3 linked regions of the Xenopus tropicalis genome follow. The main gene of each other region encodes a partner of the protein of the gene in region 3 in a complex. Links are inferred from orthologs where the notes say so. Each region holds a gene or a part of one and is shown on either strand. Other genes may lie near its edges.

The links.
Region 1: the proteins of ube2f (region 3) and dcun1d3 are in contact, whole or in part, in a crystal structure (PDB 4GBA), measured with the Homo sapiens proteins. The link is inferred for Xenopus tropicalis from reciprocal best matches to the Homo sapiens genes UBE2F and DCUN1D3. Residues at the interface, in NP_001265234.1 of Homo sapiens: Leu2, Thr3, Leu4, Lys7, Leu8; in NP_775746.1 of Homo sapiens: Glu108, Glu109, Glu112, Pro122, Thr123, Glu124, Met139, Cys140, Glu194, Ile204, Ala207, Leu208.
Region 2: the proteins of ube2f (region 3) and uba3 are in contact, whole or in part, in a crystal structure (PDB 3FN1), measured with the Homo sapiens proteins. The link is inferred for Xenopus tropicalis from reciprocal best matches to the Homo sapiens genes UBE2F and UBA3. Residues at the interface, in NP_001265234.1 of Homo sapiens: Thr27, Arg28, Arg29, Val30, Asp34, Lys35, Val38, Lys39, Val41, Ala42, Glu45, Val54, His55, Phe56, Pro57, Asp58, Pro59, Asn60, Leu62; in NP_003959.3 of Homo sapiens: Ala401, Thr403, Thr405, Leu406, Glu407, Gly408, Asn410, Arg411, Thr412, Ser417, Val418, Thr419, Ser420, Ile421, Arg424, Thr425, Gln442, Glu443, Ala445, Ala447, Asp448, Val449, Thr451, Pro452, Gln453, Thr454, Leu456.

The regions. Positions count from the first base shown.
Region 1 is NC_030685.2:24,467,475-24,477,822, forward strand, and holds the start of dcun1d3 (DCN1-like protein 3), read right to left. Parts: upstream 5,457-10,348; 5' UTR 5,345-5,456; coding exon of another isoform or gene 5,331-5,344; intron 1-5,330. Other genes in the region: lyrm1 (LYR motif-containing protein 1), read left to right, coding at 8,498-8,650, 9,615-9,707, 9,978-10,094. UniProt on the Homo sapiens protein: Contributes to the neddylation of all cullins by transferring NEDD8 from N-terminally acetylated NEDD8-conjugating E2s enzyme to different cullin C-terminal domain-RBX complexes and may play a role in the cell cycle progression by regulating the SCF ubiquitin E3 ligase complex, after UV damage.
Region 2 is NC_030680.2:141,988,412-141,997,963, reverse strand, and holds part of uba3 (NEDD8-activating enzyme E1 catalytic subunit), read right to left. Parts: intron 7,863-9,552; coding exon 7,760-7,862; intron 7,458-7,759; coding exon 7,344-7,457; intron 7,012-7,343; coding exon 6,958-7,011; intron 4,314-6,957; coding exon 4,277-4,313; intron 4,198-4,276; coding exon 4,116-4,197; intron 1,215-4,115; coding exon 1,114-1,214; intron 349-1,113; coding exon 285-348; intron 1-284. UniProt on the Homo sapiens protein: Catalytic subunit of the dimeric UBA3-NAE1 E1 enzyme. E1 activates NEDD8 by first adenylating its C-terminal glycine residue with ATP, thereafter linking this residue to the side chain of the catalytic cysteine, yielding a NEDD8-UBA3 thioester and free AMP.
Region 3 is NC_030685.2:59,013,799-59,024,017, reverse strand, and holds the start of ube2f (NEDD8-conjugating enzyme UBE2F), read right to left. Parts: upstream 5,559-10,219; 5' UTR 5,457-5,558; intron 517-5,456; 5' UTR 502-516; coding exon 384-501; intron 1-383. UniProt on the Homo sapiens protein: Accepts the ubiquitin-like protein NEDD8 from the UBA3-NAE1 E1 complex and catalyzes its covalent attachment to other proteins. Together with the E3 ubiquitin ligase RNF7/RBX2, specifically neddylates cullin-5 (CUL5).

The sequences.
Region 1 (10,348 bases), about 35 Mb from region 3:
TTAAGGGAAGTTTGGACCACATGGGTAGGATATTATTTAGGGAGGATATGATTGGGTCTAGGTTTCTTGTCGTATAGGTGTTTAGGTATAGGTGGACTTGGATTCCCAAGTACTTAAATGAATCTACTGTCATTACGGGGATATCTTGTGGTAGAGCAGGGAGGGGGGGGGATGAAAGATCCTGTAGTGTAAATGTCACACATTGCATATACAGTGGAGGAAATAATTATTTGACCCCTCACTGATTTTGTAAGTTTGTCCAATGAAATGAAAAGTCTCAGAACAGTATCATTTCAATGGTAGGTTTATTTTAACAGTGGCAGATAGCACATCAAAAGGAAAATCAAAAAAATAACTTTAAATAAAAGATAGCAACTGATTTGCATTTCATTGAGTGAAATAAGTTTTTGAACCCCTACCAACCATTAAGAGTTCTGGCTCCCACAGAGTGGTTAGACACTTCTACTCAATTAGTCAACCTCATTAAGGACACCTGTCTTAACTAGTCACCTGTATAAAAGACACCTGTCCACAGAATCAATCAATCAAGCAGACTCCAAACTCTCCAACATGGGAAAGACCAAAGAGCTGTCCAAGGATGTCAGAGACAAAATTGTAGACCTGCACAAGGCTGGAATGGGCTACAAAACCATTAGCAAGAAGCTGGGAAAGAAGGTGACAACTGTTGGTGCAATTGTTCGAAAATGGAAGGAGCACAAAATGACCATCAATCGACCTCGCTCTGGGGCTCCACGAAAGATCTCACCTCGTGGGGTGTCAATGAAAGGTGAAAAAGCATCCTAGAACTACACGGGAGGAGTTAGTTTATGACCTCAAATTAGCAGGGACCACAGTCACCAAGAAAACCATTGGAAACACATTACACCGCAATGGATTAAAATCCTGCAGGGCTCGCAAGGTCCCCCTGCTCAAGAAGGCACATGTGCAGGCCTGTCTGAAGTTTGCCAATGAACACCTGAATGATTCTGTGAGTGACTGGGAGAAGGTGCTGTGGTCTGATGAGACCAAAATAGAGCTCTTTGGCATTAACTCAACTCGCTGTGTTTGGAGGAAGAAAAATGCTGCCTATGACCCCCAAAACACCGTCCCCACCGTCAAGCATGGGGGTGGAAACATTTTGCTTTGGGGGTGTTTTTCTGCTAAGGGCACAGGACAACTTATTCGCATTAACGGGAAAATGGACGGAGCCATGTATCGTGAAATCCTGAACGACAACCTCCTTCCCTCTGCCAGGAAACTGAAAATGGGTCGTGGATGGGTGTTCCAGCACGACAATGACCCAAAACATACAGCAAAGGCAACAAAGGAGTGGCTCAAGAAGAAGCACATTAAGGTCATGGAGTGGCCTAGTCAGTCTCCGGACCTTAATCCAATAGAAAACCTATGGAGGGAGCTCAAGCTCAGAGTTGCACAGAGACAGCCTCGAAACCTTAGGGATTTAGAGATGATCTGCAAAGAGGAGTGGACCAACATTCCTCCTAAAATGTGCGCAAACTTGGTCATCAATTACAAGAAACGTTTGACCTCTGTGCTTGCAAACAAGGGTTTTTCCACTAAGTATTAAGTCTTTTTTTGTTAGAGGGTTCAAAAACTTATTTCACTCAATGAAATGCAAATCAGTTGCTATCTTTTATTTAAAGTTATTTTTTCGATTTTCCTTTTGATGTGCTATCTGCCACTGTTAAAATAAACCTACCATTGAAATGATACTGTTCTGAGACTTTTCATTTCTTTGTCATTGGACAAACTTACAAAATCAGTGAGGGGTCAAATAATTATTTCCTCCACTGTATCATTCCCTTTGTATTTGTAGTGTCCTGTCCATGCCTGAAAAAATCAGTTTTAACTCTTAATTTAGCGACAGTCACAAGATAAAGGCAAATATTAAAAAAACAAAAGTATGAGCTACAATAGCCCTGTAGCATAATCCTGCTGGTAGCGGCGCTCATTGGAATCCTGCTTGCTACATTCTTTGCCTAATGCAATGTTCAACATCCTCGTGCCAAGTAGGTTAGCTCAGATACCCCACCCCACTCCCTGCTTTAGATCCATCATAAAACCAAATGGCGTATGGCTTTAAAGGTATTAAACAATTAGGCAGAAGGTCAGGCAAAACATTATGCATCTGGACCATCGATTTCTGCTGAATGGGCAACACAATTAACGTCAGGGGCTGGAATAAACAATCCTGGGCAAGCGGCATATAATCTGCTCTTATAAAAGAAATAAGCATAACAATATGTGACAGCTCTGTCCTGAGAATATCCACCTCTCACAACCATTGCGCAGAGCCACCCAATTATAGTGTTACCCTTATCTCAGCACCCTCGTCATAGAGGCAGTGTAAAACCTGGCAGCTAGAAGTGGCATGGCATATACAGTAACTAACACGTAGGGTTATATAGCAACATGCAGGCCCAGATTTAAAATAGGCCCTGGAATTATAAGTACACAGAAGCCTTAAACAGCCCACCACTAACCCAATAAATAGTGACTGCCTATGGCATCTTACAGCAGCCCCTCTGGCATTTGCCAAAACCTACAGATTGCCAGTCCGGGCCTGGTAACATACAGTAAAATGTTCAACTGATTTCTATGGGTTACTTGACTGCCCCTATTGACACAGAACCTTTACATCAGTCATGGAGTTCCTGTCTACACAGCCCATGAAAGCAGAATGCCCTTCTTAGAACTTGCCCCTCCATAATTTGGTGCATTCCAAAAATCTTTCAAGAAGATCAAAACACTTACAGTTCTGCTGAAGCTCTTTAAGTGCTATAGGCCCGCACTGAAACTGCAAAAATCTTAAATTGACTTTGTAATCAGCAGAATATGGCCAATCATCGACCTATGGCAGCCTTGCAAGAACACCAAATTGCAGAGCTATGGAAGATACCCTCACTGTTATAGGGTTCCTGTATCACCAGATTGTTACAGCAGTCTCAGGCTATTGCCCAATGGGGGACACCATCAGCCTGTAGGCACACACACAGCAGATTTCATGCCAATAGAAGTCAGAATGCCAGTGGTTTACTGCAGGTGCAAATTACCCAGTGTTGGTAACCAAGCCTGTGTGTTGGCATTAGAAAGAGGAAACGGTTTTGCCTCACAAGGAAACTTAGGAAAACCAAAGCAACACGCCATCCCATCAGTGATTCACATTCTTGTCTGGGAGATTAGTCGCCAACAAAAGTGAAGATTAAGGGCCCACGACTAATCTCCCCGAAATGCCATCCCACTGGCTAGAATGTAAATCGCCGGTGAGATGGCATACGCGGGACGGTGATTTGCTGAAATCACGGAAGTTGTCTTGAAAGGAAAATTTAGGGATTTTGGCGCTGCGTATGCCATCCCACCATGATTTACATTCTAGCCAGTGGGGTGGCATTTTGGGGAGATTAGTCGCGGGCCATGGCCCTTATCACGGGTGACTAATCTCCCCCTGTGCCACTGCCCTTACAATACTGAGAATTGCCTCTGCTAAAACACACGTGGAGACAGTTATCAGTAAATGATCAGCATTGTCTGTTTTAGTAGCCATGACAAGTAGCTGCTACTAGTAGCTCTGTGTGTCTTCACCCTAAGGGCCACGGCAGATGGGGAGATTAATCTCCCTGAAATGGCCTCCCACCGGCGAGAATGTAAATCACCGGTGGGATGGCATATGCGGCGCCGCAATTTCCCGAAATCGCAGCGAATAATCTCTCCGTCTGCCATGGCCCTAAAGAAAAAGCCTCCCATCATTGTTTATAGCCAAGCATTGTGATAAAAGCTAATTAACACAAAGTAAGCCATTTAGCACCTACGTGGCACTTTTTAGACAGTCCCCAGAGCACACATTTCTTTCCCATGCTAATAGGCCCCAGCCATTGTTGCTTTACAAATAATGGGATTCTATATAAAACACAAAGATAAACAGAAGGCCTCCAAATAATCCAGCAAACAAGGTAAAACCCCAGACTATGAGAGATACATACAATACTTATAACACTAACTCAAATCATGCTATTTATATGTTGAAATGTAACTACATATATTATAATACAGATCAAAATCATAGTTGGGGGGGCATACAAATGCTGATATTAAACAGCTGCTACAATCCCAACGATCTCCTATGTGGATAAACAAATTCAATTCACATTCTTGGCCCATTCTAGAACAATATCTTTAGGTACAACATGTCAGGACATGCCCCTATCTGCTAGGCCTATAGGTTCCTTGATATGCAATGGTCTGTTTTATAATGTAGCCATACTCGGGCAGCTTTAGACCAAATCAGCAGTTTATCTGCCCGTGTATGAGGACCCCCCGACAGGCCTGCCCAACCGATATCTGGCTACAAATTGCCCGGATATGGATTGGGCTGGTTGACACATAGACCCAGTTCTTGTTCTGACGGCTCCAACATTGTTGTAATGATGGGAATATCAGGGGGAAATATCGGCTCGTTCGGCAACCTGGCCAAATGAGCAGATAGTGTATAGCCACCTTAATATGTGGCGTCTGTATCTCGAGTCATTGTCCTAATTACAGTCATATAAAGGCCATATAAAACTATGAATGCCTTTCTTGCTTTGTCAGACTAATCCACCCATCCCCCATGCAGTATAAAAAAGATCCTGGTTCCATCGAACCAGATCAGACTGAATATAAAGAGAATAGCAGGATAAGTGACAGCCTAACTAACCCCAGCCCTGGGGCCAATAACTGCCCCCCTATCTGTGGCAGGGAAGGAAGCTATAATGTCTCGGCACAGTGATCTGACCCCTTGTGTTGCTGTCTGTATGGATTTTGGGGTCACAGCCTCATTGCCTAATGCTTAAAACACAACTTTCCCCTGTTTGTTCTGGCTAGGGATCTGCAGCCACTGTATCTGCAGTTATAGTTCAACTACATCTCTGCCCATGGGGGTAGTGAGGTGCTCAGCCTCTCCAGCCCTTAGAAGTCCCAGTATCAGCCCATGGCAGAACAGCAGGGAGTTGTAGTTCAGTAGCTGCCAGGGGAAACCATCCCCAAACAGCTGCAGGGCCTCCCCATTACCGATACAGTAGGGTGTGTGTGTGTGAGGGGCCTCAGTCTGCAGGTAGCGGAGATGTGGCCCCATAGCAACACAAGGAGCCCCTGGCTGGGGGGGGGGGTATAATAATCCAACATGGAGCCCCCCAGCCGTGGCTATTCCCTGGGTGGGTAAGTGCGGAGCTGCAGTGGAACAATAGGTACAGACTGTATATATCAGGGCTGAGCCCAGCGGCCACACACACACACATACATACATACACACACACACAAAGCCCCCCCCCGCTCACCATGGCTGCCGCATCACTTCCCGCTTTGCCCCATTCTGCCTCAGGTGTTACAGGGGGACCGGCAGCGCCCCAATCACTTGTGAGCCTGCGACGTCCGCACCTTCCAGCTCCCCCTCCTTCCTTTCCTCCAGCCGTGACGTGCCCGCTGCGCCCGGCGCACTTCTACCGACGTCACAGGCTAAACAAGGGAGGAAAGAAAAAGTGACATCAGTGTATTCTCACGGAGTCCGCCCACGGGTGTCTCGGTGTCAGGGGGGGGGGCGTGTTGTGTCGCGGAAGAGGCGTGGTACCGTCAGGTCAGTCACAGCGGCAGTATTGGGCAGTATAGAGCTGGGGCGGGGCGCTGTGCATGCTGGGTAGGGGCAGTGCTCGGCCTGTAGGTGTAGGTGCGCTGTCACTGCCGGTGATACTGAGGGTTCTCTGTAATATAACTATATATAACTATAGCTGCTCTACTGAAGGAGGGCGGGGCCTGGGTTATACATATAGGGGGTGGGTAGGGAGTCCGGTAAATCTGCCCACAAATAGGAACAGAAACTCTGAAAGGGCAAAAGTCACCCTGTGGTACCCTGTGACTCCTATCACTAACCCCCTGCAATTCCTACCCACCAACATTCCTCTCAGGTATTATGTGCACTTATGTTATGGGAATATTCTAGAGTAAATGGTGCCCATATGCCAGCGCTATAGCGCCCATACACCCAGAGCAGCGCCAGGGAAGCCTGAATGTCTATAGTAAATGGTGCCCATATGCCAGCGCTATAGTGCCCATACACCCAGAGCAGCGCCAGGGAAGCCTGAATGTCTATAGTAAATGGTGCCCATATGCCAGCGCTATAGCGCCCATACACCCAGAGCAGCGCCAGGGAAGCCTGAATGTCTATAGTAAATGGTGCCCATATGCCAGCGCTATAGCACCCATACACCCAGAGCAGCGCCAGGAAAGCCTGAATGTCTATAGTAAATGGTGCCCATATGCCAGCGCTATAGCGCCCATACACCCAGAGCAGCGCCAGGAAAGCCTGAATGTCTATAGTAAATGGTGCCCATATGCCAGTGCTATAGTGCCCATACACCCAGAGCAGCGCCAGGAAAGCCTGAATGTCTATAGTAAATGGTGCCCATATGCCAGAGCTATAGTGCCCATACACCCAGAGCAGCGCCAGGAAAGCCTGAATGTCTATAGTAAATGGTGCCCATATGCCAGAGCTATAGTGCCCATACACCCAGAGCAGCGCCAGGAAAGCCTGAATGTCTATAGTAAATGGTGCCCATATGCCAGTGCTATAGCGCCCATACACCCAGAGCAGCGCCAGGGAAGCCTGAATGTCTATAGTAAATGGTGCCCATATGCCAGTGCTATAGCGCCCATACACCCAGAGCAGCGCCAGGGAAGCCTGAATGTCTATAGTAAATGGTGCCCATATGCCAGTGCTATAGCGCCCATACACCCCGAGCAGCGCCAGGGAAGCCTAAATGTCTATAGTAAATGGTGCCCATATGCCAGCGCTATAGTGCCCATACACCCAGAGCAGCGCCAGGGAAGCCTAAATGTCTATAGTAAATGGTGCCCATATGCCAGCGCTATAGTGCCCATACACCCAGAGCAGCGCCAGGGAAGCCTGAATGTCTATAGTAAATGGTGCCCATATGCCAGCGCTATAGTGCCCATACACCCAGAGCAGCGCCAGGAAAGCCTGAATGTCTATAGTATATGGTGCCCCTATGCCAGCGCTATAGTGCCCATACACCCGGAATAGCGCCAGGGAAGCCTAAATGTCTATAGTAAATGGTGCCCATATGCCAGTGCTATAGCGCCCATACACCCAGAGCAGCGCCAGGGAAGCCTAAATGTCTGTAGTAAATGGTGCCCATATGCCCAGAACAGCGCCAGGGAAGCCTAAATGTCTGTAGTAAATGGTGCCCATATGCCAGCACTATAGCGCCCATACACCCAGAGCAGCGCCAGGGAAGCCTAAATGTCTGTAGTAAATGGTGCCCATATGCCAGCACTATAGTGCCCATATGCCCAGAACAGCGCCAGGGAAGCCTAAATGTCTGTAGTAAATAGCGCCCATATGCCCAGAACAGCGCCAGGGAAGCCTAAATGTCTGTAGTAAATGGTGCCCATATGCCAGCACTATAGCGCCCATATGCCCAGAACAGTGCCAGGGAAGCCTAAATGTCTGTAGTAAATGGTGCCCATATGCCAGCACTATAGCGCCCATATGCCCAGAACAGCGCCAGGGAAGCCTAAATGTCTGTAGTAAATGGTGCCCATATGCCAGCACTATAGTGCCCATACATCCAGAGCAGCGCCAGGAAAGCCTAAATGTCTGTAGTAAATGGTGCCCATATGCCCAGAACAGCGCCAGGGAAGCCTAAATGTCTGTAGTAAATGGTGCCCATATGCCAGCACTATAGCGCCCATATGCCCAGAACAGCGCCAGGGAAGCCTAAATGTCTGTAGTAAATGGTGCCCATATGCCAGCACTATAGTGCCCATACACCCAGAGCAGCGCCAGGAAAGCCTAAATGTCTGTAGTAAATGGTGCCCATATGCCAGCACTATAGCGCCCATATGCCCAGAACAGCGCCAGGGAAGCCTAAATGTCTATAGTAAATGGTGCCCATATGCCAGCACTATAGCGCCCATATGCCCAGAACAGTGCCAGGGAAGCCTAAATGTCTGTAGTAAATGGTGCCCATATGCCAGTACTATAGCGCCCATACACCCAGAACAGCGCCAGGGAAGCCTGAATGTGGCAGCACAGCATTCTGTAAGCAGTCCACTTTTTCCGGAAGGAGGTTAGCCATTGTTCCCTGGGCGGGGTGTCCGACTAATGACACCCATGATCATTTTGACTTTCCATGTCCTTAAAATATGAATAAATCCCCTGCCACCCCACAGTTCCCCCAATTCATTTCCTCTGGTGCCCCCACCAGAGGTAACATGGGTGGAGCTGCAGGGAGTTAGGGCGGTCCAACTGGAGGCCCTCAAAATGATTTTAATGGCCCCCAGCCTGCCCATGGGCTCCATAGACTTCACGGTATAACTGTATAACTTATACAATGTTGAACAACACTTTTTAGTAGATGAGTGTGAGGTCTCTCTGCTTCTCTTTTCAATTCATACATACATAATTTTTTTTTAATTGCAGGTTACAATGGGGACCCGTCACGAGGTTTTAAGCCTTTATCGGCAGATTTTCCGAATAGCAAGAAAATGGCAGGCAGCATCAGGACTTAAGGAAGAAACTATAAAAGAGAAAAAATACATTGTGGATGAAGCTAGAAAGTTATTCTATAAAAACAAAAAGGTACATATAACTGTGCTGTACGTGGGTTCCCTATGGGCAGGCTCTCCCTTTAACCTCTAGCACATCAGGATCACGTGGGGCACTAAAGTACTGTTGGGCTTATGTAGGGGCAACTATTGCTCCCAATAAAGGCCTGTATTTATCAGGGGGCGGAACTGCACAGTCCTGTTACCTCTACCCAACACCTTACACCTCTTCAGCCTGGGTCGCTGCAGCAATGGCATTATTCTTGGGGACAGGTCTTGGACATGATAGGCTGGAGCACCCATATAAACTCTGCCCTAACCAATCAAGTCTTTACCCAACCCCCAACGTCAAATTTCACTTCTACAGCAGCCATTTTAGAAGCGGCATCTAGGGTTGGAAACCGGAGTGTAGGCGGGGCATGGAATGTTAACACATTAGAATATATAGTGATACTGACGGGTTCCTGTAATCCTGAAATGTGTTATATGTTAACCCTTAAGGAGAAATATTGTGTAAAATACAAGAATGTGCCAGTGCATTATACGTGTATATATATAGAAGGATTATGCTTTTTTAAATTTATTGAGAAATTCCACCAAAATGCTACTAGTCCAACCCATCTGTTCTACTTTCTGCTGCCTCCTTTCGCAGGCTGTGCAGGGGAGCACTGTTAAACAGGAACCAATCAGCAGCTAGGCTGACCTGATAGGGAACTGGAGCCTGTATTTGCTTGTGTGACTGCGGGGCTGTGATTGGCTATCCCTCTCCTACTGTGTTTCTGGCAGGGACCGTTAAGACACACCCACCTCTCATTGGTGACACAAACAGGGACACAAGCATATAGGGAGCTCCAGGAAAGGAGGAATAATATTCACTATTGCCTACAAGATTTGGGGGGGGGGGGGCGGGATTTTTGCTATTAGTCTCCCTTAACTGCCACGTCTTTGTGATCCTGCTGTGCCACATATAACCAGTAAGCACTGTTCTTTTTTTGTAGATTACAGATCTTCAGATGATTAAAATGTGTATAGAAGAATGCAAGGCAAGAGTGGAGATTGGATTGCATTATAGGAATCCATACCCCAGGCCTGTAAGCATTAGTCCTACTTCCCTCCCAAACCAAATACTGTTACTTTCTTTCCTGTCCCCTTCATGTTTTTCCTTCTGTCTCTGCCCTTCTTCCTAGATACTACTTATTCCCTTTAACTCTGCACAGATCTATCTCTGCCCTGCTCTTTGCACTTATTTAGCCCTTACACTCACCTATTTGCTATGTTGTTGGTCATTTACCTTTCTCCCTGCTGCTTGTACCCTTTCCAAGAGAAGCATTTACAGAATAAACTCTAATTTTTATTCACAGATCCATCTGCCTCCACTGGGACTTGCCGTCCCACACAGTAAAGTTCTGCGTACCCAGGAAAAGCTCAGGAAGCAAGCCAAGCCTGTTTATTTAAAGTCATATGATGAAATCTCCTAGTCATGGCAGCAGATCTATCATAATTAAATTATATTGTTGTATCACAAGCCATGTTTGCGGTATGATGAGGTTTAACCACAAGATGGACTCTGTAAATCAAAGCTGCCACTGTGTTGCACTGCAGAACAGGGTCATTCCCATTCATGCTGGTTAGTCACTCAAATTATTCAGCAAGGAACCTATTTGTAATAAAAGGGGGGGGGTCCAAGATTTATTCCATTCATAATAGAGTGCACCTAAGTTTCCACACCCAT
Region 2 (9,552 bases), on a different chromosome or scaffold from region 3:
GTAACGCTGGCCCGGTCCGGCCCGGGGGTAAGTAAATGTGGCCCGTGAGCCAAAAAGTTTGCATACCCCTGGCATAGTACGTTGTACATTGGACACTGACGCAGTGTTTGATAAGGCAAATGGGGCTATTAAAAGGGTAGGAAGGAGTGAACATGGTTCCCAGGTATATATGGAGGGAGAGGGGCTGAGATGGTAAGATGCCCTTGAGAGGAACCTTACACATAATGATATAAAACATAACATCCAAACATTACAGACTGCAGATAAGGCACATTCCTGCTTACCTGTAAATAAAGGGTTTTATTTTTCCCATCCAGTGTTGCAGTAATAGCAGGAGATTTCATCTGTCTGCATCAAACACAATAAGAGACATAAGGGAAGCCAATTATATTTAGAAAGCAAAATAACCCAGTATCTATCTATCTATCTATGCTTCCTAAAGGCAAAGTTGACCTTTACCATAACTTCTTGAACATTATAGATTAGCCTATTCTATATGAACAGATTTTATTATCATCCACCCTACATTACATTTGTTGCTTATCTTTTTATTCAGGCACTCTTCTTTTTACTTTCAATTGTAGCTTCCAAACAACATAGTTGCTAGGATACCTAAAGCCTAGCAACCAAAGAGCAGTCTAAATTCTAAGCCTGGGAGCGGCAGAATTAAAAAACAAATATAATAAATTGCAAATTGTCTTAGAGTACCAGTTAAGTAGAATGGCTAATTCTAGGCAACTCTTTAATTGGGCTTTATTTTTTTCTTCTTTAAAGTTTCTGACTCTTTCCATGTTTCAAATGGGGGTCACTGACCCCAACATCTAAAATAACAAGGACACTATAAGCCTACAGTTTTATTGTTATTGCTACTTTTTATTGCTCATTTTTCTATTCAGGCCCTATACTATTTATATTTCATCCTCTCATTCCAACCAATGCCTGGTTGCTAGGGTAATTTAGACCCTAGCAACCAGACAGCTGCTGAATAAAAAGATAGCTCAAAAAACCACAAATAATAAAAAATGAAAACAAACTGGAAATGATGTCAGAATGTTACTCTTTGTGTCATGGAACAGTTAATTTAAAGGTGAACAAGGATGATCAAGCACTTACAGTGATGTGTCATTTGTCAAATAATCCAGCACCTCCTGCAATTTGGCTGAAGAAGGAAACTGGATGTTCTGTGGGAGTTGGCTGCAAGCGGGACAATTTTCCTGTCAAACAAGAAAAGAAATGTTTATAGTTGAATCCGTTTAGACTGCTGCTGTGACGCAGAACTTCACCCTTATCTGCTAAATGAAAGGAACTACGTGTCCTGGAAAAGTGCGTTATTTTATATGATGGCAGATGGGGATCACTGACTGCTGAATAATTCCTGTCCGCGACCATGTTTCAACTGGAGGTGGCTACAGGAGAAGGCGGCTTTCTGCAATCCTTAAAGGGGAACTCCACCCAAACACAACTTAAGCTTTGTGTAAAGTAAACATAATTTCAAGCACCTTTGCAAAATAAAGCAATTGTAAAATATGCAGCCTTTTCATGATTGGTAATGTGATAATCTGGTTTGGAACAGTTCCCTAAGCCCCGCCCCCTGTTCCCCTGCTGGTCTGGCTGGCTAATTTGTGACTCAAATAAACTGTAACAGTAGTCGCCTGCCCTCAGCCTGCCTTCAGCCCGCCTCCTCCCAATCCCACAATTCCCTGCTGCACACGTGATGTCAATAAGGAAAGGAACATCCCAGTGCAATGCATTGTGGGTTATGTAGTTCCTGCATGCTGCTTGTAAGCTGGGGAGAAGTTGTTATAATTTGTCACATTCGAAATGGCCTTTCCGTTATTCTGAACTTTCTGGATAATGGGTTTACAGATAACAGGCCCCATACACGTATTGGACCTGTTTTCCAGAATGTTTCTCCATAACTTAAGTCTACTAAAAAATAATTTAAACATTAAATAAACCCAATAGGGCTGTTCTGCCCCCAATAAGGGGTAATTATATTTTAGTTGGGATCAAGTACAGGTGCTGTTTTATTATTACAGAGAAAAGGGAACCATTTAACCATTAAATAAACCCAATAGGGCTGTTCTGCCCCCAATAAGGGGTAATTATATCTTAGTTGGGATCAAATACAGGTACTGTTTTATTATTACAGAGAAAAGGAAATCATTTAACCATTAAATAAACCCAATAGGGCTGTTCTGCCCCAATAAGGGGTAATTATATCTTAGTTGGGATCAAATACAGGTACTGTTTTATTATTACAGAGAAAAGGAAATCATTTAACCATTAAATTGTAAGCTCTTTTGGGCAGGGCCCTCTTCACCTCTTGTATCGGTTATTGATTGCTTTTATATGTTACTCTGTATGTCCAATGTATGAAACCCACTTATTGTACAGCTCTGCGGGATATGTTGGCGCTTTATAAATAAATGTTAATGTAATAATAATGTAAATTAAATAAACCCAATAGGGCTGTTCTGCCCCTAATAAGGGGTAATTATATCTTAGTTGGGATCAAGTACAGGTACTGTTTTATTATTACAGAGAAAAGGGAATCATTTAACCATTAAATAAACCCAATAGGGCTGTTCTGCCCCCAATAAGGGGTAATTATATCTTAGTTGGGATCTAGTACAGGTACTGTTTTATTATTACAGAGAAAAGGGAATCATTTAACCATTAAATAAACCCAATAGGGCTGTTCTGCCCCAATAAGGGGTAATTATATCTTAGTTGGGATCAAGTACAGGTACTGTTTTATGATTACAGAGAAAAGGGAATCATTTAACCATTAAATAAACCCAATAGGGCTGTTCTGCCCCAATAAGGGGTAATTATATCTTAGTTGGGATCAAGTACAGGTACTGTTTTATTATTACAGAGAAAAGGGAATCATTTAACCATTAAATAAACCCAATAGGGCTGTTCTGCCCCAATAAGGGGTAATTATATCTTAGTTGGGATCAAGTACAGGTACTGTTTTATTATTACAGAGAAAAGGGAATCATTTAACCATTAAATAAACCCAATAGGGCTGTTCTGCCCCCAATAAGGGGTAATTATATCTTAGTTGGGATCAAGTACAGGTACTGTTTTATTATTACAGATAAAAGGGAATTATTTAACCATTAAATTGTAAGCTCTTTTGGGCAGGGCTCTCTTCACCTCTTGTATCGGTTATTGATTGCTTTATATGTTACTCTGTATGTCCAATGTATGAAACCCACTTAGGGTACAGCGCTGCAGGATATGTTGGCGCTTTATAAATAAATGTTAATGTAATAATAATGTAAATTAAATAAACCCAATAGGGCTGTTCTGCCCCCAATAAGGGGTAATTATATCTTAGTTGGGATCAAGTACAGGTACTGTTTTATTATTACAGAGAAAAGTGAATCATTTAACCATTAAATAAACCCAATAGGGCTGTTCTGCCCCAATAAGGGGTAATTATATCTTAGTTGGGATCAAGTACAGGTACTGTTTTATTATTACAGAGAAAAGTGAATCATTTAACCATGAAATAAACCCAATAGGGCTGTTCTGCCCCAATAAGGGGTAATTATATCTTAGTTGGGATCAAGTACAGGTACTGTTTTATTATTACAGAGAAAAGGGAATCATTTAACCATTAAATAAACCCAATAGGACTGTTCTGCCCCAATAAGGGGTAATTATATCTTAGTTGGGATCAAGTACAGGTACTGTTTTATTATTACAGAGAAAAGGAAATGATTTTTAAAAATTAGAATTATTTGCTTATAACGAAGTCTATGAGAGATGGCCTTTCTGCATAATGGATCCCAACCTGTATAAAATAAAAAAATATTTTTCCCCCCCAAAAAAAGCTTCCTGCTGCTAGTAGGGCAAGACATAAAGGACACGTAAAGCCCTGGAAAAACACTACTTTTAATTAGTCTATCAGTATTTCCAAAACATACACATATCTGTAGTTACATCAGGATTGTTAAGGCCTTTACAAATAACAAAGGTCATGTGTGTATCCTGGTAAATGTAACTCATTTTTATTAAACAATGGGGAAATGTGCCTTCTACCAGTAAAAAAAAAAAATCCTTTTTGGCAGCTGAATAGGAAAATAACAGACAGTACAAACCTTTTTTTCTGCTTCAAAGGTGTAAGTGTATAATCCATCAACATCATTAAACACCAAGTAATTGTTCAGTGGGATGTAGGCGCTATGAAAAGAGACTTCAATCATTAAACTGACAGAAAAGGAAAGCAAATCAATATAAATCCAATGTTCCTAAAGTTTACCTTGTTGCTATTTTAAAAACTTCAGTGGCACAGGCAGCTGGAATTAAAAAGAAGAAAAAAAAAAAAGTGATCACATTATTGATGTGTTACACCACAAAATGGTTTATATACAGTGGAGGAAATAATTATTTGACCCCTCACTGATTTTGTAAGTTTGTCCAATGACAAAGAAATGAAAAGTCTCAGAACAGTATCATTTCAATGGTAGGTTTATTTTAACAGTGGCAGATAGCACATCAAAAGGAAAATCGAAAAAATAACTTTAAATAAAAGATAGCAACTGATTTGCATTTCATTGAGTGCAATAAGTTTTTGAACCCCTACCAACCATTAAGAGTTCTGGCTCCCACAGAGTGGTTAGACACTTCTACTCAATTAGTCAACCTCATTAAGGACACCTGTCTTAACTAGTCACCTGTATAAAAGACACCTGTCCACAGAATCAATCAATCAAGCAGACTCCAAACTCTCCAACATGGGAAAGACCAAAGAGCTGTCCAAGGATGTCAGAGACAAAATTGTAGACCTGCACAAGGCTGGAATTGGCTACAAAACCATTAGCAAGAAGCTGGGAGAGAAGGTGACAACTGTTGGTGCGATTGTTCGAAAATGGAAGGAGCACAAAATGACCATCAATCGACCTCGCTCTGGGGCTCCACGCAAGATCTCACCTCGTGGGGTGTCAATGATTCTGAGAAAGGTGAAAAAGCATCCTAGAACTACACGGGAGGAGTTAGTTAATGACCTCAAATTAGCAGGGACCACAGTCACCAAGAAAACCATTGGAAACACATTACACTGCAATGGATTAAAATCCTGCAGGGCTCGCAAGGTCCCCCTGCTCAAGAAGGCACATGTGCAGGCCCGTCTGAAGTTTGCCAATGAACACCTGAATGATTCTGTGAGTGACTGGGAGAAGGTGCTGTTGTCTGATGAGACCAAAATAGAGCTCTTTGGCATTAACTCAACTCGCTGTGTTTGGAGGAAGAAAAATGCTGCCTATGACCCCCAAAACACCGTCCCCACCGTCAAGCATGGGGGTGGAAACATTTTGCTTTGGGGGTGTTCTTCTGCTAAGGGCACAGGGCAACTTATTCGCATTAACGGGAAAATGGACGGAGCCATGTATCGTGAAATCCTGAACGACAACCTCCTTCCCTCTGCCAGGAAACTGAAAATGGGTCGTGGATGGGTGTTCCAGCACGACAATGACCCAAAACATACAGCAAAGGCACCAAAGGAGTGGCTCAAGAAGAAGCACATTAAGGTCATGGAGTGGCCTAGTCAGTCTCCGGACCTTAATCCAATAGAAAACCTATGGAGGGAGCTCAAGCTCAAGCAGAAACCTTATGGATTTAGAGATGATCTGCAAAGAGGAGTGGGACCAACATTCCTCCTAAAATGTGCGCAAACTTGGTCATCAATTACAAGAAACGTTTGACCTCTGTGCTTGCAAACAAGGGTTTTTCCACTAAGTATTAAGTCTTTTTTTGTTAGAGGGTTCAAAAACTTATTTCACTCAATGAAATGCAAATCAGTTGCTATCTTTTATTTAAAGTTATTTTTTCGATTTTCCTTTTGATGTGCTATCTGCTACTGTTAAAATAAACCTACCATTGAAATGATACTGTTCTGAGACTTTTCATTTCTTTGTCATTGGACAAACTTACAAAATCAGTGAGGGGTCAAATAATTATTTCCTCCACTGTACATCTTTGGGGCCTAACATGTGTTTAAGACTTGTGAAACACAGAATTAAAAAAACTAAAAAAAAAAAAAAAAAGACCAATTGCAAAATTGCTAGGAGTAGGACATTCTGTAACATACTAAAAATTAACCTAAAGTTGAATCACCCCTTTATTATAGTAGAATACCAATGTTTAAATGTATATACTGTCTCTCTGTACAGACTAAGGGTAACGTTAGAAAGGGGAGTGGATAAGAAAGTTTAGGTATGGCTGCAATGTCAGAAGGGTCAGTAAATCTTCATACAATCTAGGGAAAAAGTGAGAAATAGTAATACATCCCACTCATAATGTTTCCATTAGGCTTTAAATGGGGGTCACTGACTCCAGAAATCAAAACATTATCTACTATTTTATTATTGCTACTTTTATTACTTAACTTTCTATTCAGTCCTTCTCCTATTTATCTTCCAGTCTTTCATTCAAACCACTGCCTGGTTGCTAAGGTAAACAAGACCCAAGCAACCAGATAGCTGCTGAAATTCCAAAGTAGAGAGCTATATAACTGAAAAAGCTATTTAACCGAAACTACAAAAAATTAAAAAAAATTGTCTCAGAAAATCAGCAGAAACAGCCCATTAGGTTTTCCCATAGGCTAAACAGTTAAAATAAAACTATGGCAGCATCCAGGATTCGGTTCGGGATTTGGTCAAGATTCGGCCTTTTAAGGTTGATGATCAATAAGAGCTGTGATTGGTTCGTAGGTAGCCCCATGTGGACTGGCAGCCTACAGTAGGTTCTGTTTGGCAGTACACATGGTGCCTCCAAGTTAGAAAATAAAACATTTTAAAATGGGCCCATGTTTTATGGCCGCTGGGAGCAACACCCAAGGGGTTGGTGAGCAACATGTTGCCCCCGAGCCACTGGTTGGGGATCACTGGGCTAGTGTAATATAAGCATAAATAGGGAATTATTAATGGAATAGATTGTGTTTACCTGCAATTACAGCATTTGTAGAGGCTACAGCAGGAATAATTCTCTTTACAACACCTGTAGACAAGATTGAAACATGAAACAAGTTACAAATATGAACAAAGTATCGTGTGTAGATGATATTTTTTTAAGTTGACATCAATTTTAAAGTGTCTATTGCTCTTATGAGCTACCGGTAAGCTGTAGACAGACAGGTGACTGCAATTACACTTACAACATCCCCAGAAGCCCAATAAATATTGACTGTCTATGGCATCTTGCAGCAGCCCCTCTGGAATTTGAACCCACAGCTTGCCCTTCTGAATCTGCCCCCATGATTGCATATGGGATGCACAGTAATAAATGGTTACAATAAAAATAAATACAAATTTGCTGCAGACGACATCTACCTTGAGTAAGTCTGTACGTGACACCTCGAATGTTGAACTGTTTCGCCCTCTCCAACGAATTCATAAATATCCACTGGATGTGTTCAGGGTCGTCCCCATCTAATTGCACGCCCTCTATAAGCAGAAACAAACCATGATTCACGTTACCAATATAAATGTTAAAACGTATGTAACAGCCTTGCGCTTTATAGTGATCCAATAGACTGCAACATCTGTGATTACCAAAACTATTCACTGGTATTTACGGAACATTTTCAACTGACTGGTAAAGCTGGCACATTGTAGAGGGATGCTGACAACGTAAGGGCAAATGATATCTCGGGTGCTGTTGTGGCATCAATGTTAGTTACTGTTGCCTTTATTATAATGGGCCAGTCCTGTCGGGCAAACCCGACAGATTCCATGAGGCACAATACCTCCAAATGGCTGTTCCTTTGGCCACTGAAGTATCCGAACGTACTCAATGCAGTGCTCTGGTAATCTGGGCATAGATGCTATTGTACACATGGGGAAGTTGATCTGCAATAGATGAATAAGATTCACAAAATAGCCACAAAATGAGAGCCACTTCTAATAGGGAAATTTCTAATATAACAGAATGTCAGGTATAGAAAATAGTGATGTGCAGGTCAAGTAAATCTCAGCCCGTGCTAGTGCTGGGCGGTATACCGGTAAAAACCGATCACCGGTGTTTTTTTTTAAACCGATATGAATTTTCTACATACCCCCATACCGGTGTGCGTGAATACTTCCGGGTGCGCGCGTGACGTCAGCGCGCACACTCTACAAAAGCGCCATCGCTAGGACGCATTCAGAGTCGGATACCAATGTGAGCTGTCGGGGGGGGGGGGGGGTGCCTGGCAAGTAATTATATTTTATGTGAAGGGGATGGGGGGGTGTTATTTATGTGAAGGGGATGGGGGGGTGTTTGGGGTGGGTGGGTTATACTTATGTGAAGGGGATGGGGTTGTGTTTGGGGGGGTTGTGATGGGGTGGGGGGTTATATTTATGTGAAGGGGATGGGGGGCTGTTTGGGGTGGGGTGGGGGGGGTGTGCGGATGGGGGGGTGTGTGCGGATGGGGGGGTGTTTGGGGTGGGGTGGGGTGGGGGGGGTGTGTGCGGATGGGGGGGTGTTTGGGGTGGGGGGTGCGTGCGGATGGGGGGGTGTGTGCGGATGGGGGGTGTTTGGGGTGGGGGGGTGCGTGCGGATGGGGGGGTGTTTGGGGTGGGGTGGGGGCGTGCGTGCGGATGGGGGGGTGGGGGGGCTGCGTGCGGATGGGGGGTTGTTTGGGGTGGTGGGGGGGGTGCGGGTGGCGGGTGTTTGGGGTGGTCACCTAATCATGCATGGGGAAAAAAAAATACCGTCAAATACCGTGATACCGATATAATTTTGAAAAATACCGTGATATAAATTTTTGGTCATACCGCCCAGCACTAGCCCGTGCTAGACCCTAACCAGCCCACTCCCAGCCCAAACCCTACCCGACCTGGTTAGTCCCCTCTGTTTATAGACCCATGCCTGACCCACCCACCGATGATGTCACAAAAGGGGCAGGACAGGGGTGAATGGACACGCGCCTATAAATCAAAGAGCCAGAACCCAGCAGTGTAAGGTCCGACCCGCAAACGTTGTGCCAAGGTCGGACTGAACCCTCGGGTATCGGGCTGGCCCACATATCCCTAATAGACCACTATTCCATCACATTGTATGACGGTAGTTTTTAAATCATAACCTTTACCTATAAACAGCATACATTATAAACATAATGGAGGAGTATTATAACATTAGATGAACAGCTCTAGTATGACCTGGCCCCAAATATGAACCCATCCCAAATCCATATAATTTTACTATAGTTGATTTTACAATGACAAATACTACCACATGAGGATCTGTTTTCTTATAGTACAGGTATTGGATCCATTATTCGGAAACCTGTTATTCAGAAAGTTCCGAATTACTCGAAGGCCATCTCCCATAAACTCCATTATAAGCAAATAATTCTAATTTTTAAAAATGATTCCCTTTTCTCTGTAATAATAAAACAGTACCTGTACTTGATCCCAACTAAGATATAATTACCCCTTATTGGGGGCAGAACAGCCCTATTGGGTTTATTTAATGGTTAAATGATTCCCTTTTCTCTTTAATAATAAAACAGTACCTGTACTTGATCCCAACTAAGATATAATTACCCCTTATTGGGGC
Region 3 (10,219 bases):
ATACCTGTTTGCTTTTGAGTCTGACCTGCTTGCTCACAAACTAACTGAACTGTTATGTCCAATATGGCCACCCTCAAGTCGCTGACTAACTGAGGTTAGAGAGCTGAAAGAAGGAAGTAGTGTTCTGGCTATTAAGTAAGACACCCACTCACTCCAGCTTTTATAGATTACATTTTTGGCTAACTAACTACAGTATATTAGAAATATTTTGGATTTTGCACAACCTATCTATTTATATTCATTTTTGCAATGAACAGTTCCTTTAGAGAGTGCAGAGCAAGTTGTGGCCTGTATACATATACATACTGTATAATAATATATAACAATGATAAATATGTTAATTCTCTGCATTGCAAGTCAGTTGATGGGTGTTCAAACGCTACCTTTTACAAGTAATCTGTCACGAACAGACACTCTGCGTGTTGAATCAGAGGTTGTGCTAGATGTTCTACTTCCTTTAACACCATCGTCCCGCTTCAACTTGCTTGCCAGTGTAAGCATCACGCCACCCACCACCTAAAATTATAGACAATGTGATATAAGAAAGAAAAGTTAAATAACAAAGTGTCTGTGCCTATTGCATAGTTTATTACAGCATGTACAAAATATATTCAGAAGTTTTCTGTTAAAAAAACTATCTATATTTGAAAGACCTCCAGCGTACATAATTACACAGTTAATGTGGGTTGAAAAAGCCAACAGTCTACATCTGATACCCAGCATATATCTATACAAAATCTCTAAGTAATGTATAAAAACACACCAACCAGTAGGGCATTCTACATCGGTGAAGAACCAGAGTTCTGTTAGTCAAGTCTAAATTAACACTACGGTAACAGTACATTAACACTTTCTATGGTACTAAAATACCAAGGTAAAGTGTCTAAAAGGTAGATTTTCTTTAGGCATAATTATGTCCTGTGAAAGACCTCAACAGGGTAAAGATATTTGCTGCATCCAGATGAAGGAAAGACATATGCATGTTATTGAGCACATAGGGTGGCTTCTGGCCTGAAAATGGACAACTGATTTTGGAAGGAAATATGCTCCTGTAAGTTTTGCGAAGGTTGAATAAATTCCCATCACTGCACACTTACCCAGGTAGGGGCTGAATCCGTGTTTTTTCACCAGTAGATAACCAACTGATTCACTTACCTTTTGCCCCACATTTGTGTACAGTGACAAGAATACAATCTGCCTGTCACTGCAAACAAATGGCACGTTTCAAGTAGAAAATGCACATTTGAGCTTCTACACTGAGAGGTAGGAAGCAGAATCAGCAGTTTCTCCACTGACATAAAGAAGCTGTTGGAAAAGCTGGTGTGTGACACTAGCCTATTATCTGCTTTTGCATTGTTTTAGTCACTGCCTCTCACAGATCTTCACAATATACAATAGAAACGCAAATGAAGGAAAAATCATAACAAAATGAAGAACTGTGCACAAACAAGAGGTAAGAAAATCTTAGCCCTTAAAAAAACCAAAACTTTTTAAGTGGATACATGCACCAGTCAGCACTATATTTTCAGTAAGTGAGAAATGAATGCAGTGTACCAACAGAAGTAAATGAACAGGGGATCAATCACACAATAAATGCACAGCGTCACAGAGAAAGCAGTCAGAAAAAAATGCAAAGTGAAAAAATGAGCGCCAAAGCAAAGCTGTCATACACAAAATGGCAAACAGATGGCCATAAAATATATTCACGAACTGCAAACAGGGACAAACTAAAAACTAATCATGTGTTCATCGGGCGCTGTGTATTGGAAGCAGTTTCAATCTAAGCTGTTGCAGCAAACGTTGATTTAAAGTGCAAATTCTGCAAAGAATGCCTAGGTTGGTATAATGCTACATCTATGCAAAGGCAGTTACCTCAACTCCGTAGTTATCCATTTAGGGCTGGCACACAACTATGGTGAGTAACTACTGGCACTGTAGCACCCAGAATTTTAAGTTGCTTGAGGATGGTGCAAAACTAAAATACACAACCATTATTTGCTGCTATAGCAATAAACGAAAAGTGTTTGTGTGACAGGCAGTTATCACTTAGAAATTGAAACTGCCATGTTTTCAATTCACTGCCTAACAACTCCCTGACAGCAACTGCAATAGTGGGAAATTCTGGAAAAAGTAGTGGCACTGCCCAACTAATAAAAATCATACAAATCATGCCAGTGCCATTATGGCCCTATTCAGCTGGACAAGCCCACACTAAAATCGACTATTCCTAAACTACAAGGCCATGAAAAATCTAAAATTCATGTCAGAACAGTGGTTCCAGAACTCAACCATAAACTCTGGCGTTCTTGAATACTATGCAGTTGACCACATGGTTTCTCACCCCAGATGAAAAGGAGAAGAAAGATCAGGAAAAAAAAAAAATCCCAGAAGGAGAGAACAATGATGAAGCCATATCTTGAACTGCATAGGGCTGCTGTATATGGAAAACTGGAGCTAGTCTATGAGTGTTTCTATTTGCACAGCCACAACATGCTCATTTCTGGCACAGAAATGGACAATGCAGAACAGATAACTAATAAACTCTACTACATATGCAATTCACAGCCCCCAGTGATTCCTGAGACTTCAATCACATGTTTATGATACCTTTTATGTAAGAGCACTTTAATAGCACAACAGATACAAGTCAATTTCTGGCCACTATTTAAAGGAGAAGGAAAGGTAAAAACTAAGTAAGCTTTATCAGAATGGTCTATGTAAATACAGCCATAAGCACTCACAGAAACGCTGCACTGAGTCCACTGTCAAAAGATTTGTTGTCTCTTTGTTTTCCTGTGTCAGAGACTCACAGCTCTCTCCCCTCTCCTGCTCCCCCCTCCCTCAAGAATGCTAAGAACTCACCCCCCCCTTAGGAATGTGGATCTGAGCCAATCAGCAGGACACTTCCTCATTGTCTTACAAACTGCGCATTTACACCGGTCTTGGTGCAGGAGCGAGGCATTATGGGAACTCAGAGCTCAGCTTTTTTTTTTCCTATGAGGCTTCTGATCATCTGAACAGGAGAAATATGGGGAGACGTAAGGGCACTATTGAGAGAACTGAAGGTATGCCTGCAGCTTGAGAAACTCTATTAGCCTTTCCTTCTCCTTTAAGGAATGTCTAATGTATTAACAAAAAATGGCTTTGAAGAAAAATGTAGACAAATCACCCAGCGTATGTTACAGTTTGGCTGGATCTAAGCAAAGCAAGGAAAAACAAGGTGAAAAAGCAGGGGGAAACAAATCATAAATAAACTTTTTGACTTGTTTTGACAACCCCTTTAAGACACACTGGAATATCATACTGACAGTGTCCCATGTGTAGCACGGTCTTATCTGTAAAGAAACTATATATAAAATATAAGATTGGTCTAAGGAATATAGGGTTTCACAGAGGTAGCAGTCTCCATATCTACGGGCCTTATAGAACTACGAAACTTTGCCTCATAACATCACCAACACTAGGAATATAGTTACATTATCATCTGTAAAAACAAAAGGACTTCCACTCCAACAAAAGCTTCAACATACAGGCCAAAAGTTTAGAAAAAGTAAAAAAGTTTGTATTTAGATAACATGCCGGCCTAATGCATTTCGTGCCCATCTGGCACTTGAAGCAGCACGCATGCAAAAAGATGTGCAGCACGACTGACATAGCCGACACTGGGATTACATTTTAGGATACTAGAATTCAGTGATGAGTTGAGGTGTTTAGTTGGTCAAACAAAGAATTTAAAGGGATTCTGCCATGATTTTATGAAGCACTTTATCTTTCTAAATTGCAAAACATATTTTTTTAATTGGCGTGTAGGTGCCATCTCAGTGTGTTGTGCCTGAGTCTGAACTTTCAGAAGGAGCCAGCGCTACACATTAGAACTGCTTTCAGGTAACCTATTATTTCTCCTACTTCAATGTAACTGAAGGAGTCATGAGCCGGACTTGGATTTTCTACGGAGTGCTATTATGAGATCTACCACTTTTAGCAATACAGGTGTCAGGGAGCTGCTATCTTGCTCCGTTCCCACTGTTCTGCTGATCAACTGCTGGGAGGGGGGTGATATCACTCCAACTTGCAACACAGCAGTAAAGTGTGACTGAAGTTTATCAGAGCACAAGTCACATGACTGTGCACCCTGGGAATCGAAGAATATGGCTAACCCCATGCGAAATTTTAAAATTAAATATTAAAAAATTTGTGCTTTAAAAAAATGGATATCAGTGCAGGATTCCGCTGGAGAAGATCTATTAACTGATGCGTTTTAAAAAAAACATGCTGTATAATAAAAGTCCTTTGCAAATTATGAAACCCAAATTTGTTTGTTTATTAAAACATCCATACTTGTTTCAAATGTATTTAAAAAGTTCAGTTGTCAGTCCTATATTGGATTCCGCACCTCTGTGCCTCAGACATAGCAATCACTTTCACTTTCCATTTTGCACTTCCTAGATGTCACTTTCCTCCACTGACAATCATTGTGTAGCCTGTGAATGGGTGTCAGGTCCCCCATTCTGGTGCATAAACAAGAATTCTGAACAATGCAATGCTTGGTGCCTGCCTTTTGCTGTGATTGTAACTTCCAAGACTGAATATATAGTCCAACTGGAGGTCTTGGGTCTGATGTGGCCTTCCACAGGACCCCAGTCTTCTCGGGGGGTGGGGGGGGGGCTTCACTGTATGACATCATCTTTTCAATATAATCTGCGACTTAAACATGCTGTATAAATAAATGTTGGCCTCACCATGTAAGCATTTGGACAACACTTATGTAGTAAAAGTAAACTTTGACTAACATGACTAAAAATGGGATTTGGAATTATATCTTAGATTGACATGTTTCCTTTAAAAAATAATAGTATTACATTTTATTGAACTTTAATCACCTGTTCATATTATTTCTTTACGGGTGGCACTTACAAAGAATCTGATTCAAACATGGGTTTAAAATCAGCTGTGCGCCCCACTTTAAATTCCTTTTTTTATTACAAGAACCCTTTCTTAAGCCCCCCCCCCCCCCCCCAATCAGCAGCGGGACAGATATTTGGAAGTTATGCATGCCCAGCAAGCTCCATCTGTTACTCTAAACTGGGGTCACAATTAGCAAGCCCAGGTCAGAAGGGGTACAGCCTAGAAGTAGCCTCTGACTGTAAAAAACTGGCAAATAAATGCTATTTATGTGGGGGGCCACACGTTGTTCCCAAATATGATGATCCCAAGCCCCCAACATACAGATTTAGTTGTGTGAAGATACTGGGATTGTAGTACAGAAATAGTTAGGAATGGGTTAAAGAGAAGCTTGCTCTGATGTACAGTACAGACTACTACTGTATAAAAAACAGCACCAGTGACTCCTTCAGTACTAAGTATTATTGATACATTATTACATTACATCAATGACTGCTGTAAATATGAAAGGCAGGCAACCTTCTGGGCACCCTAATTGCTGCCTTGCCACATACCGCCCAACAGCCCCTCTTTTTCCGGGACAGTGCCGATTTTCTTATCACAGCCCGCAGTCCCGGATCGCTGTTAAAAAGTCCCTCAGCCCCGTTAGGGTCTAGCTCCTTAACTCCTGCCGGACAGCGAATCCGCACGTCACACCGCTCATCTCGCGAGTTTATGACGTCACACAGCACGTATATAAGCGCTGGAACGCCGCACGTAGCCGCCCAGTGGGAGTGGTGAGGGAACGCGGAGTGGGGTAGTGCGTTATGGGCACTAGTGAGGTTGTGTTGGGCTTGCTCGTTATATTTTTATTAGAGGAAAAATACATTTTTTCGTGGTGGTTGCAACCCACGGTTGCTGCTACCAGAGCTTTGGCTCCCAATGTTTGACCAAGCCTTAAGTAATTCATGCTTTCTTTGCTATCTAGAATTTGCACATATGCTAGGAAAAATATTCTGTGGAGTTCCAGCTGCAGCTAGAGTATCTGCGCCTAGTATTTTATTAGGCGCAGGGTTTTCAACTTACACTTCTACTTGTGTCAGGAGCAAAAGAGGGGAATACTTTCCAGCATTACCTGCCATAGCATTTGCTGCCCATGTATAACCAAACATTCAGTTGTTTTTATCTCTGCTCAGAGCTCCCACCAATGCAAGAAAACCAAAAAAAGATGTTCTTCCTGGTTGCCAACAATACGTGCTAAAGCTGATTCTCATCTCAGTTTGGAGACAAAATAATGACTAATTTAGAATACAATGGGTGAATGAAGCAAAAGTAGGATCTTTTCTTAGAGTGGAATCAGGGGCCCAGTATTTTTGTGAAAGCAAGGGGTAGATTTAGTCAAAATTTGTGGCAAAAAAGGGCTACTTTAGGTGAATACAATGACTGAAATTGACCAAAAGTTATCGTGAGTTTTTAGGTCCTTTTTTTTTTGTAAAGTGTCATCCAAGGGTTTTTAGAGTTTTATGTGAAACCAGATTTTTCACAATACAGGGAGGACTGTTTAAGGTGAATATAATGGGTAAAATATACTAACAGTAATGTTTTAGGCATTGAAGAGTCCCAGTGTTTTTTGTGTAAACAAGGGTCAGATTTTTCACTATTGTGGAACCAAACAATACTTAATTTAGTAAAATTGACCAAAGGTAGTCTAGCAGGCTAGCGCTGGAAAGGGTTTCCCCTGTTTCACAGAGGAGTTAGACCACACAAGCTGTCACCCACAACTATCCAAAAATGGGGAAATATGGGCTAAACCCAAAGAGTACCTTTGATCAGATGTTGTGGGTCAGATTTAACCTGATCCATTGTGGAACACCACCATCAAAGTTCATGTAATTCTATGCAAAAAAAAGTTGCTCCAACTGAATCTGACTATCTTGTTGGATGTGACACAGCATGCACGTGTTGGGCTTGCTGGTTATATTTTTATTAGAGGAAAAATACTTTTTTTTCGTGGTAGTTGCAACCCATGGTTGCGGCTACCAGAGCTTTGGCTCCCAATGTTTGACCAAGCCTTAAGTAATTCATGCTTTTATTTGCTATCTAGAATTTGCACATATGCCAGTGAAAGTATTCTGTGGAGTTCCAGCTGCAGCTAGAGTAGCGCCCAGTATTTTATTAGGCGCAGGGTTTTCAACTTACAACTTCTACTTGTGTCAGGAGCAAAAGAGGAGAACACTTTTTCCAGCATTACCTGCCATAGCAATAGCATCTGCTCCTGATATTTAACCAAACTTGCAATTGTTTTTATCTCTGCTCAGAGCTCCCACCAATGCAAGAGAACCAAAAAAGATGTTCTTCCTGGTTGCCAACAATATGTGCTGAAGCTGATTCTCATCTGATTTATCAAAAAAAGTGGAAATTTTTATAATGCTGTAACCCTTTTTTGGCTGAAAAGCACAAATTAAGAACAAAAATAGGCTAAATGAGGAGATTATAATGCATAAAAATACCCATACTAATCTTTAGTTTTTATGATCTTTTGTTCATAATGGTGTTAAAGGGTCATTGCCAAAGGCCAAGTATTTTATAATTTAGGGACAAAACAAAGGCTAATTTAGGAGAAGACAATGGCTAAAATTGTCAAAAATTAATGTAGAGCGTTTAGGGTTTTACTCTGGCATAAAAGGATTCCAGTGTCTTTTTGAAAGAAGATGACAATAAGTGACAATCACTTTTAATCAATACAATTTTCCAGTAGCTGGTTACTGAATATTAATTAAGAGAATTATGGATATTTGATACCAATTGCTGCAAGTAGCTTTATAATTTCCCTTATTGGGCACTGGGATTCACGTGTATTCATGTGATCATTTAACGATTATATATTCTTCCTGAAAGAAGAGCATTTGTTACTTGCCTTGTCACTTGTGCCAGGGCACAAAGAAAGACACTTTTTTACTGGCTGCTAATAATATTCGCCTCCACCAAAGCCTCTGCTCCCAATAGTAATTCATTTTTATATTTGCCTACAAGGGTTCCTATTTGGGCCAAGGAACAATAAAACAACTTTCCCAGTTTTCCCTGGTGGTTAAAAGCAATCCCTGCAGCTACCATATCCTCTATTGTCAATGTTTGATGAAAAAGTGTATATTCTTTCACTTTTTTTCATGGTTTCAAACAATACCTATTGTTGGGCCCATGTATTCACAATGCAAGGACAAAAATTCCTTGTTTAAGACAAAGATAATGAGTGAAATTGACCAAATTTAATGTTTTTTAATTCTGGCGCAAAAAGATCCCAATGATTTAGGTAAAAGCTAGGGCCAAATTTTTGTTTTACAATTTAGGGACACCTTGAACTAGAAAGCAGATGCAGAGTTAAAAGGGCTAGATATAACAGCTTAGTTCTTAGTTCATGGGCATTGTGGCTCTTATGCTGAGGGCTGTGATCAGGGCTACAGGGAATACTGCAGTCAGGCCCCATGGCAGAGGGTGGTACTGAAATGAAAAAGTGTGATTTTGGGTCACTAAAGGAGCAGGTCTTGTGAGGAGTGGGTAGGGGTTGGGTGGGTCATGGGTTTTGGCATAATTGAAGTGTGACCAGAGCGGATGAGGGACATGGCTGTGTAATGCATACGCCGCACCTTCCTAAGGTGCTTTTCGCTGTACAACTCTTCCGTTACTGACCCCAAGTGGGGCAAAATTTATTGGAAAGTAGGTTTGGTTTTTGGTAGATTGTGGGTGTGATGGGTGCTAACTTGGGTGTGTTCTGGGCATAATGGTTGTGAGGCCTAAATTGGTATACCTGTATAATTGGTATGATATACCACAATACTGATCCTATAGCCAAATTGTGTTCTTCATTAGCCCGACAATCATGGTTTAAAACCTGCACTCCCACGTTTAGTCAGTTTCCTTTTCTCTACTTGCCACTAGTTTGATTGACTGATCAAACTGATTGGCCATGGTTTGCAGGGTTCCAGGAATAGCTATAGATTTTAAAGTATATTACTGGTAGAGTGGAGAGCCCAGATGCCCTGCCTATAGCACAGGAAGGTGGATAAACCATATACAAATTGATGGCAGGCTCAGTTATTCAGAAGATGTTTTTCACCTTTACAGGACACACTTCCAGGTGTAACAAGAGAGACAGCAGACCTTATCACTACTAGGGGTTCCAGGATATAGACAATCCTATGCGGGTTCTGACACAAATTTAGTATATATGTGAAATGGATTCATCAGCCCATGCTCTTTTATGTAAAAAGTTGTATTCCAGTCACTAGGAAGGTGCCTGAGCAGGTTCTCCTTTGTGGCACTCAAGGAAGGATTTTTCTAGGGAAGCTATATAAGAGGAAGGATAGTGGCCCATTTTATCTTTGACGGATGTAAATAAGTCAAGAGCAGATGAATCCTGTGAGCCTGAGGCCTGCTACGTCATGTATCAAGGCAAGCCAAGTAGGTTAGCTATTGGTAGCCCAGATCCGTGGAGCTTGCTGCAAGGGTGAGAGAGTGCTAGGCCAGCTAGGTTAGTAGCAATACATGCTATTTTTTTGGGCACCAGTTATTAGAAACATTTCAGTAAAAATGGAAATTTGTACCAATATTTAGTGCTTTGCTTTCTCTTTCTCATTATTTAGCATACCATTAATTGTAGCAAATAAGTTATTGCTATGTAAAATAAAGAGGACAGCCAGGACATGCAAAGTTCTCGAAGCGACACAGTCCTGACTGATCTTTACTTGCTATTACTGAACTCTGAAGCACAAGTGCTTTGTTTGCTAAATAATATAATGTAAAGGAGGGATTTTGGCAAATTAAATGTATCTGGGAAAACATTAATCTTGCAAAGACATATCACTTTAGTGGGTTTTTTTGCTAAAGGTGGGCATGCCTTATAATACATAGATTTCCTAATTTTTTCTCCATAAAATACTGCATTTTTCTCAATGCTGAGAAATAACATGCTAGATAAGGGTAGTATTTTCAGTAGTGTAGTGACTTAGCTGCCAACAAAATATAGGTAAATACAAGTAATTAATTTATGAGATCTTATGTTAGGTGGCATTGGATATAGGTTAAAGAGAGTAGCTTCTGGTATTTAAGATCAGTATTGTGTTTACTTTAATAATTAAAAGGTAACCCCCGTATTTAATAAAAGGCACTATGTTTGCCCAGTAGCACTAGCCCATAGTAACTAATAATATTTTTGCTTTTAAACAGGTGAACAGAAATTGCTACTTGAGCTAACTTAGTGCCTTTTTATTACATAACCCCTTTTTTGTTAATTGCAACTCCACCAAACATGAATATCTCACATTTAATGCAGTACCAGCTG